3 linked regions of the Canis lupus familiaris genome follow. The protein of the gene in region 3 interacts with the protein of the main gene of each other region in a pairwise test. Links are inferred from orthologs where the notes say so. Each region holds a gene or a part of one and is shown on either strand. Other genes may lie near its edges. The genes, in order: GPATCH2L, FRA10AC1 and TRIM41.

Region 1 (3,652 bases), on a different chromosome or scaffold from region 3:
TAAAGAGTTTGGGGGAGTAAAAGTGAAAAGTGATGGACAGAGATCTCAGCTTTCTCCCATTTATTCTTGCTTCTGAGCTATTGTTTGTGTCAGAAGGGATATTGATTTTCTATAAAAATAAGAAAACAAGAGGCACCAAGGGGCCGCAGAAGGTCAGCCTGGGCTGGAGAAGGAGGGAGGAGGTTTAGCACTCTATCTCTGTCACTTGCCTTCTAAGAGAAGGGAATATTTTCTTTCCTGTGAGATTGGCCTCTAATACATCACTCAGGAAGGCTCCTGACTGAGACTTCAGGCCAACATCAAACCAGTTCCCTTATAAAAGAACAGAAGCTAAACTATATTCAAGGGGAACAAACAAATGATGTGTTAGTGAAGAATAGAGCAAAATCATGCTATGAATCACCTAATAGCTGCTATACAGATGATATGAATAAAGACAGTAGAAACTAATTTTACAAAATAATTGCTCCATTTTAGAATGGAATACACATACACAGGAAAATATTAAAATAATAATTGATCTTTTGTAGGCATAAGAAACTTTTACATCATAACCACTTTCAGTTCCTCAGAACTCCTGAAGGACTGGTTGGCACAGAACTGAAGGAAGAATAGAAAAAGTAAAGGAATTACTGGTCAAGCTTAAAACTATTCCATGGTTAATTAGTAAAGTTTAAGGAAATTAGAAATAAAGCTCTTTGGTTGAGACACACATTTTCAAACCTAAAACATCTGATACACATTTTTTAAAAGAACTCTATCCACTGACAAGGCTAAGTTAAGCTTAATGATCAGCCTCATCCTAATAATTTTACCAGTCGGATCATACAGGCTGACAATCTTCAACACCACTAATAAAAGGTAAAGTTCTAGTAGCACCTGGGTGGCTTAGTTGACTAAGCATTCAACTCTTGATTTTGGCTCTGGTTGTGATCTCAGGGTTGTGAGATCAGGCCCTGAGTTGGGCTCTGTACTCAGCAGGGAGTCTGCCTGAGATTCCCTCCCTCTCACTCTGACCCTCTGCACCCACCCCCATTCTTGTGAACATGTGCATGCACTCTCTCTTCTAAAACAAATAAATCTTAAAAAAAAAAAAAAAAGTAAAGTTCTACACTTGAGCTGTAGGTGAACAAACAGGCACATCTAAGCAGATTTATGAAAGAATAACCAAGATTCTTTAAAATATCTGTTAATGCAGAAAAAAAGATAGGAAGATTTCTCACAAACCAACTCCCCAAAAATCATATAATATCCAAATTGTAAATTATTATCTACTTAAACACACACTAATGCTAGTCCTATCCACAAGATGGGCTTAATAATCAAGGCAAGATTTTAGTTCCATCTTACTGTTGGGAAGCTGAACATAATTTGCAGTCAACCTCTCTTTCTCCAAAGAGTAGATTTAGGAGGAAAAGGTAAGAAGCATTTCTGTTTTAACTACAGATGAATCAACAGAAGTCAAAGTATATTTAAAACTCCTAAAAAATTAGATTCTAAAGAAGAATTATTCTCATTTTAGGTCTGCTACTACTCCACCAACTACTCCCTCAGAGCTTCAAGGACTTGGGCCTCCATTATTAAAAGAACTCTAAAGTCATGGACCAGGCATACAGCATAAATGGGGTATTTGTGAGAGAGAATACACAAGGTATTCTCAATTTGAAGAGAATAAATATTTCATAAGGATTGCTGCCTACTTCAACTTATTCAGGCTCTCAGATAACTAGAGTGTTTATCACAACCTATGAGCAATAGATGTGGGTGGGGGTGGGGGTGGGGGAGGAACTGGAAAGACTAAAGAGCCTCACTGCTAGATTACAGACTCTATGCCTGGAACCATTCCTGAACTGTTATCTTAAGAGCAGACATAGTTAACAGTCCCTCACCTACAATAACGTCATAACAAGAAATTCTGGGGAAGAAATAAACACAAGCTATCACAGCAAAAAACAATTTTTAAAAATCACAATTCTCAACAGTAAATTATTATGTTTGATACTGAAACATACTTAAATGACCCAATTGAGGGTTTTGATATTGTGAAAGACTATAAGTTGACTAAACATTTATTTGATTAAAAACAACATGATAAGAAAACTTTTATAACCCAAAATTATACATATAAATTGAGAAAATAGGACTTAGGATATACATTAGAAGAAAATGAGGGAAAGCAAATTATAAGCCTACCTGGTTGTGCAGACTGGCAAATATAAAGCTACTCAGAAAAACTGTTAAAGCTTGATTAAAAGTCGCCCATGAAAGGTACAGGCATAAAGATTAAGGAGCTTTTCCTATTACTGACATAGCTTTACCTCATAATTCCTAAGATTTATGTCTTTGTTTTTCAGACGAACTTCAGAAGCAAAGTCCTAAGAAAGGCCACACATTCTACGGTTGTAAAAGTTGCAATGAGACAGAAAAAGAGCCATGGAAAAGGCAAATTCAAAGGGCAGCAAAGGGCAAATTCATGGTTGTTACATATGAACCTTGGAATCAGGTTCAATTCCCAGTTTTGCTACCGGGTGACCGTGGGCAAATTATCTCAATACTATGAACCTTCATCTCCTCTTCTAAAATATGAACAGCAGGGCCTACCATACAGTGGAGTTCTGACCATTCAACTGGGACTACCAGCCCAAGAGGCAGCACCTACAAAGGCACTTGGTCTGATACTATGAAGGGGATGGGAACAGTGTAAGGATGCCATATATCCTGTAAAGCACAGACACAAATGTTTCTGGCTCAATGGCATTTGGTGTAAGACTAATGGGATTCAGTACCGTTATTCTCAAAGCCCACCATGTGTTCAGGCGGCTTGAATGTCAGCCATAAAAAATAAACTCAGTGCAGTCAAACTGGAGGGAGCAGACAACAGAATGATAGCCCCGTAGCTAAAGCCATGACTCTTAAGGGGAAAGGCAGCTTACCAGGAACATACACAAACTCCATGTGCCTGGCACCAACATTTTCTCACATACACAAACACACACACCAGCCTCTACTGAGACCCTCGTTCTCACAACATCTACATATGATCTACATGGCATAAACTGCAGTAAATTGTTTTTAAAATAAAATTCATGGTTATGCATGTGAGGTATGCATTTTAAACAATTTTTAGAAACAAATGTGTTTCATTATACATAGCTTTCTTGACATAGGGAAATAGAATCATGAATATACTGTAAAAAGCTAGAGACAGACCCTAGCAGATTGCTTAAAGGAGGGGCTACAAAGTCAGCATTACAGTGGCTAGCTCTGAAAGAAGGTTGAACTCCTCAAGACTATGGATTTGTACTCAGGGTAAAAATAACCAGGACAATCTCTGACTTAGTAAGGGAGATCTCACCATTCTGACATGTTCTCATCAGAGCCCTGTTTTTGTTCATCTGCTTCACACTCCATCCTTTCTTTCCTTCCTGTTTTGCTTAGGAAAGTCCTATTTTCTGCTGATTCACACAACCCATGACCTGATGAGGTCCAGGGAGTATTCTCCTTCCAGCGGGACAGACGCTGCTTCTTAGCTGACTTGAACCTGCAGCCTCTCTCATAGCTCCAATCTGACACCTTGAGCTTCTGCTGAAGGCTGGCGGCCACCTCTGATGTCACTCGCTTCACCTTCCTCCGGCGCCGGAGTGGTCGACAT
Region 2 (3,652 bases), on a different chromosome or scaffold from region 3:
GATTGAGCCCCACATGGGGCTCCACACCCAGTGGGGAGTCTGCTTGTCTCCCTCTCTCTGCCCCTCCCCCCACTCACATGCAGGTGGGCATTCTCTCTCTTTGAAATAAATAAATAAATCTTTTAAAAAATATATCTAAAAGGTTAAATATTAAACTGTTAGAAGGAGTCAACAATGTAGAGCAGAAGGGCTTTCATTTTCTACTGAATATCATTTATATTGCTTTGAATATTTTTTCAAATTAAAGGTAAGGAGTACAAATTGCATTTTATTACTACAAGATATAATTTAATTATTCCAGTAATGAAAAAGCCTCTAAAATAGAAGATACAAATTTTATATATTAAATCCTAATATTAGGCTTTCAAAAATATGTAAATATAACAAATCAGATGTTCTTTTTTATACTTTCAATATTTAAGGAATTCAGTCATGTTTAATTGTTTTTTAAAGATTTATTTATTTATTCATGAGAGACACAGACTGAGAGAGAGGCAGAGACACAGACAGAGGGAGAAGCAGGCTCCTTGCAGGGAGTCCAATCCGGGACTTAATCCTAGATTCCGGGATCACAACCTGAGCCGAAGGCAGGCGCCCAACTACTGAGCCACCCAGGCATCCCAGTCATGTTTATTTTTAATGCAATATAACAAGATATACGAGCATTTTACTTTTTTGTTTAAAAAGCTCAATGGTATTCTCTCCAGAGCAGAGCATGCAAATTACAGAACTGATCTCATCCATAATGCTGTCTGATTACACCCTATTATGTCAAAGGTAAATAATGACTTAATTCATCACAATATGTTCTAATAGAATATTGAATCAGAATATAACACTTCCAAAACTGGCAACAAAGCAGCTAACCTTTCAGAAAAGAAAAAAGAGAAAGCCAGATATCCAGAGATTTGCTCTTGGCCTGTCTCTAACTGGTCATACAATCACGGCAAGTCACCTCAATCTTTTAAAACTAGGGTTAGCAAATTCTGTTAATGGTACATACGCAGGCAATATGGTACCTGTCACAACAGCTTGGCTCTGTCATTTTAGCATGAAAGTGGGAACAGATAACACCTCGATGAATAAGCACAGGTATGTGGCAATAAGACTTTATTTACAAAAATAGGTGCTGAATGGGTCCTTGGTTCCAGGAAGATGGTGTAGACAAAAATGTACTTCTCCCTATTCTTCCCACCAAGAACAACTAAAAACCTTGGAAATTATATCTTAAACAAATATAAGACTCTGAAAGGTGAGGAGTCGAAGGCATAACAGCTAGAGAGCTCAAGACCTATGGTATGACATGGTAGTAAGTTACTCAGGTTTTCTTTTTGACTCATAAACTCAAACAGAAATAAAGAAGCTAGCAACCTAAAAATCCCAACAAGCATAGACAAGAAGAGTCCCAACAAAGCTCTCTCTAATTGAATAATCAAGAGAGAGGGTAGCCTAACATGAGGAAACTTAGACAATATCTACTCTACTCTAGCCAGAAATCCTAGAAATACCTGGCCCAACCTCTCCCCATGCCAGAAAAGGGGACCTACACTTTCACACTCACCAGGCTATAACTAGATCCCCCAACACCCTCAAATGAGTGGGGTCATAGAAGGCATAATAGATGCTGAAATACTAAAGGAACAAGTGGCAGATGAGATCCATGGGAAAGCCAAGCCATTGGGTTAGAAGAGGAATAAATCGGTGGTAAGATAATTTCTATAAGTTAAAGAAAAAGATTAGGAATGATAACAAAGGAAACAGATGGCAATAGGTAGATGATGTATCTAATTGCCATCATCTCCTTCTCTTAATCCTGACTGTAATAATAAATACCAAGAAACACTATAGGTCTTGGTTGGCTTCTCTTTCATTCTCCAACATTCCCAACTGTAATATGGATGGCCAGTGGTAGCAGTCAGAATAATGAGCCACAGTCTTACCAAAAAGCTGAAGTGAGACATGGCTATAATAGCGGAAGCAAGATACAGCTTAAAGATAGTCCTAAGTCATGCCTGAGAGATGAAGCCACAAGAGGTCTGAGGACAGTCCACACACCCATCTATCTACTTTTAGGTACAAGTTTTACGAAGACCTTAAAAAGCCAAGAACCAGATAGTAAAAGAGTAAGAGTTAAAATGAGACTAAAGATAAAAGCAGTACTAAAATGAGAAATGTTGAGAGCGTGGCAAATACAGGTTGGAAAAATAACTGCAGGTTCATGGACTTTGTAAACCTATTTATAGATCATTAGTAATATGTTTTATTATTATTATTTTAAAGATTTATTTATTCATGAAAGACAGAGAGAGAGAGAGAGGCAGAGACACAGGCAGGCACACAGGCTCCCTGTAGGGAGCCCAATGCAGGACTCGATCCCAGGACCTGGAGATCTTGCCCTGAGCCGCAGGCAGAGGCTAAACCACTGAGCCACCCAGGCGTCCCATGTTTTATTATTTTTGTCTTTAAATCTTTCTTATGTATTAATAAAACAGAATTGTACTCAAAAGTATAAATGACAAGACTGCACATCAATAAACACCTTTAAAAACATAATTTAGAAAAAAAAAACATAATTTAGGTCTACCTGACTTCACAAGATTTTATGAAATAAAAAAGTAGATTTTAAAATATTCTAGGGATCCCTGGGTGACACAGCGGTTTAGCGCCTGCCTTTGGCCCAGGGCGCGATCCTGGAGACCTGGGATCAAATCCCACGTCGGGCTCCCGGTGCATGGAGCCTGCTTCTCCCTCTGCCTGTGTCTCTGCCTCTCTCTCTCTCTCTCTGTGTGACTATCATAAAAAAATTTAAAAAAATAAATAAAAATTTAAAATATTCTATTGGTTATAAAAATCTAGAAATACAAAAAGGATACAGCATCCATAGCTATGAGATGAAACCTTCTATTTCTTGCTTCTTCCCTGTTAAGACAAATTTTAAACAAATTCAAATGTCCATATTCTAATTAATATAATTAAATCTCCAAGTCCTTGAGTTTATAAAAACATCTTAAGCCAAAAAAAAAAAAAGTAATTTACACTGAAGTACATACCTATCCAGCAATTCTGCTGCAACTTGTTTATGGGCCACCTTTCCATGTTTTTCTTTCTGAAATGGCTTTTTGAGCAGTAAATCATCTTCAATTGTCCTGTTTGTGATGAAGAAAAGTTAATTAAATTATAAAAGAAAAATTATCAAAAATTATTAAAAGAAAAATTATTATAAATTATTTTCTCAAAAGGCATTTGCTGTTTCTTTATACTTTAAAAATTGGAACATTTTTAAAAATTCAAGTCTTAAAAAAGACTCACTGATCTTTAATGAGACATGTTAGTCTTGCTCCAATAACTTAATTTCTTAACTTTATTTAATACATAAAAAATAGAGAGGGTAGCCCAGGGGGCTCAGTGGTTTAGTGCCGCCTTCGGCCCACGGTGTGATCCTGGAGACCCGGGATCAAGTCCCACGCTCGGCTCCCCGCATGGAGCCTGCTTCTCCCTCTGCCTGTGCCTCTGCCTCTCTCTCTCTCTCTCTCTCTCTCTCTCTCTGTCTCATGAATGAATGAAATGAATGAATGAATGAATGAATGAATAAATAAATAAATAAATAAATAAATAAATAAATAAATAAATAAATAAATAAATAAATAAATAT
Region 3 (3,265 bases):
TCTGGGGATCCAAACCCCTGTCCCCAGGCTCCTGGTCAGGGCTCACCAAATGGAGAGAACTAAAGACATGAGGCTGAAAACTGACACAAGGAACTCCACTGAACAAAGGGGAAAGGAGCCTGGCAGTGAAAAAGACCTAAAGGAGTTGGGTGGGGTGAGCTTTATTCCTAGTTTGAGTGCTGGAAAAAAGGAAGGGGGAGAAAATAATTTATTGGGTGATACAATGGTATCTAGTTTCGATCATGTCAACCAATCTATATCTCAAGCTAAAATGTGGCCAGTCTATGGAGGTAGAATTTGGGGATGGAAGGAGTTTTGAATCCCTCCTACTTCCCCTAGAGTAGACATTTATTACCCAGCTCTACCCTTTTGCCCAACCTGCCTCCCCCAAAAAAGCTTCCAAATCCCTCAGCTAAAATTTGCATCAGAAAACGGAATTGGAATAGGGGCAGACCTGAATCTTGCCCAAGTACCCCAGCCTGGGCACTAAGGTTGAAGAGCAGGGAAAGGGAAGTTAAGTAATGGAGTTAAATCTCCCTTCATCCCCTACTCAAAACTCAGACCCCTGGGTGGACAGAGGGAAGGAAAACCAAGCAGCTGTTCTCATCAGGGACCCATGCAGACCTGTTGGACAGACATTGCAGGTGAGAGAAGGCCGAGCTGCAGGCCAGGAGGGTTCTTTAGGCTCCTAGAGGGAGAAGCGGGCCTGGGTCAAAGGAGCAGGAAGCAACAAACATTGGAAGGAGCCTTTGAGCCCCCAAACTTACGGGCCACCCTCCACCACCACCCGCCCCCCAAGTGCTAACCAGAGGGGCCCCTGCGGGTGGCAGGCTAATCAAGGGCAGAGCTTGATACGGGTGCCCTTGGAGAGCACCCGAAAGAAAGGGAAGACACGCTCGCCCAGGAAAGCAGCTGAGAAGGTATGCACATGGGCTAAAGTCTCCGCATTGTAGAAGCCCAGGCGCCCAGCCTCATAGTCCAGGTATACACCAAAGCGCCGTGGTTTCTCACTTGGGCTCAGCAGTGTCTGCTCCGTTGAGCTCTGTGCCTGGTAGCGTTTGCCGTTGGTGCCCACACACCACACTTCCCTCTGGAGCAGGGGCTGTTGGGGTAGGTGGAGGCGGCGGCGGCGATGGTGATGGCGCGAGGAGCTGGCATCCCCACCGCCCACAGAGGACCCCCCAGAGCCCACTTTCTCCTTATGATGGGTCGATTCACGGGCAGCGCCCACCGCCCAACCCCGCCGCCCGCCCACCTCTACCTCCCAGTAGTGCCGGCCAGAACGGAAGCCTTGGGCCCCTAATACACAGCAGTCGGCTGAGAAGCGTTTGGAATGGTCAGCAACCTCCTGCCGCCGCTCTGCCAGACGAACCCCCCGGCGGTCAGGGGACAGCATCAGGGCTGGGTGAGCCGTGTCAGGGTCCAGCGTCAGGTCCACTTGAGAAGGGGGGAGGACAAATATGCCAAGGCTGGAACAACTTGTTCCCCAATCAATATAAACTCTTTTTAAGATTCGGCCTTTCCTGTTGTCCTCCCCTCTGCCTTCCTGCCTCCTTCCTGCCTTCCCCCTCACTTTTTCTCTCCCCCTTCTAGCTGACCTCACCCCACCCCATCCTAAGAGGCCAGAATTGAGTTCCTGTGGACAGGTCCTCCCTCTGGCCCTGGCTCTTCTTGCTACCCCTCCTCCTCTTCCCCCACCACTACCTACCCGGACTAGGACAAAAGCTACTCGTGGCTTAAAGCCCCATATGGCCTGCCTGTACCCTGCTCCACCTCAGCCCCAAGCTTCCCTCAGGATTCAACTTCCCCCTCAGAACCTAATCTCAGGTGTGTGAAGTGAAAGGCAAAGGAAGGTCGTACAGGTGACCTCCCTACCTCGGGCAGCCTGACAGAACATCCGGCTCATTTTCCTCACGATGGCATCTGTCAAGAAGTCATGGCTATGGGGTTGACACGGGTCAGGGGACCAGACCTCTGGGGGCTGCAGCTGTACCTCTTCACACCTGGAGGAAGGGGGACCGGGCAGGGGGTGGGACCATGATATTCCCAGAGGGAAGAGCAGAAGCTGAGGGGAAGGAGAGGAGGGTCCAGGAGGCAGAAACTCGGGTCCTGGGGAAGGAAAGGAGCGGGATATCCAACAGAAGTAGGGATGGGGAACCAGATGCCACTGGGTCACAGAGGATAAAGGGTGGCAACACACCTATTGAAAGTCTCCTTGATGTCCTGGGAATAACAAAAAGAGGGAGAGGGAAAAAAGAGACAAAGAGAGAGTCAGCTGCACAGAGACAGCTCCTTTCTCCCAATCTGATTCCAGCCAGAGAAACGACTGAACTTGAACAGGGAGTAAGAAAAAGCACCCTAAGGCCCTCAGTAAGCATATATCTCAATCATCCCTATGCCTCAACACAGCTGATTCATTCATTCAGCAACTCTTGCTCCAAAACCAATAGCATAATTTTCAACCCCAGTAAAACAATGTTCACAAAGTGACTTGGTCATCTTTTTCAGGATATCTGTCAAAAATTCTTCCTTAACTCTCCTTTAAAACCCTCATCTACAATTGAAACTTCTTTCTTTTCTCCTGCCACACACTTGGCATTAACTCTGTCCCCAGCCTCAAAAAAACCTTTTGGTCATTGTGGGTTCCTCCCAATGAGAAGAAAGGCAGCTCTGGACAGATGTTTAGTAAGCACTGCCTGACAGAGTAACTACAGGGTTTGGTGGGAGGGGGAGAGAGGGAAGGGAGCACTGCTCACCTGGAGCAGCCGTAGACCCCCCTGCTGGCTCCGCTCCTGGGCCTCCGCCAGCAGGCGGCTCAGCTGGGCAGCCTGCTCCGCCAGGCGGCTGGCCGCTGCTCCTGCACGCCCTAGCTGGGCTTCATGCATCTCCCGGAGGCGCCGCTCCAACCCTGCCTGTTCTTCAGCCAGAAACCGTGTCAGCCGTCCAAACTCCGAGGCCACAGCTGCCAACTCTGACTTCATCTGGCTCTGGGATGATGCAAAGGGGATGGTGGATACCACCTCAACACACAGAAACATAAACTTCCAATTTTGCAACTGCTGCCCCTCAATCCAAGGTATCGGAGCCCTACATCCCAAATGGAAAGTAGCCCCTAAACCCTTCCCCACCTCCCAGCCTTACCAGGCACCACTCCCACACCCCCAGCACACTAGTCTCAAACTCAACAACTCCTGCTTCCAACTTATCTCCACACTGGCTAATTAACTTGATTTGTTCGTCAGGTCTAAGCTTAAAAATATTCCCT

Evidence for each region.
Region 1: the proteins of TRIM41 (region 3) and GPATCH2L interact in binary tests that used the Homo sapiens proteins (3 or more experiments, as listed by UniProt). The two-hybrid records come from large-scale screens. The link is inferred for Canis lupus familiaris from reciprocal best matches to the Homo sapiens genes TRIM41 and GPATCH2L.
Region 2: the proteins of TRIM41 (region 3) and FRA10AC1 interact in binary tests that used the Homo sapiens proteins (3 or more experiments, as listed by UniProt). The two-hybrid records come from large-scale screens. The link is inferred for Canis lupus familiaris from reciprocal best matches to the Homo sapiens genes TRIM41 and FRA10AC1.

The regions. Positions count from the first base shown.
Region 1 is NC_049229.1:49,418,838-49,422,489, reverse strand, and holds part of GPATCH2L (G patch domain-containing protein 2-like), read right to left. Parts: coding exon 3,356-3,652; intron 1,690-3,355; exon of another isoform or gene 1,523-1,689; intron 1-1,522.
Region 2 is NC_049249.1:8,100,704-8,104,355, forward strand, and holds part of FRA10AC1 (protein FRA10AC1), read right to left. Parts: intron 3,147-3,652; coding exon 3,051-3,146; intron 2,920-3,050; coding exon 2,874-2,919; intron 1-2,873. UniProt on the Homo sapiens protein: May be involved in pre-mRNA splicing.
Region 3 is NC_049232.1:605,993-609,257, reverse strand, and holds the end of TRIM41 (E3 ubiquitin-protein ligase TRIM41), read right to left. Parts: intron 3,021-3,265; coding exon of another isoform or gene 2,988-3,020; coding exon 2,757-2,987; intron 2,224-2,756; coding exon 2,201-2,223; intron 2,004-2,200; coding exon 1,876-2,003; exon of another isoform or gene 1,875-1,875; intron 1,438-1,874; coding exon 836-1,437; 3' UTR 689-835; coding exon of another isoform or gene 551-688; 3' UTR 545-550; downstream 1-544.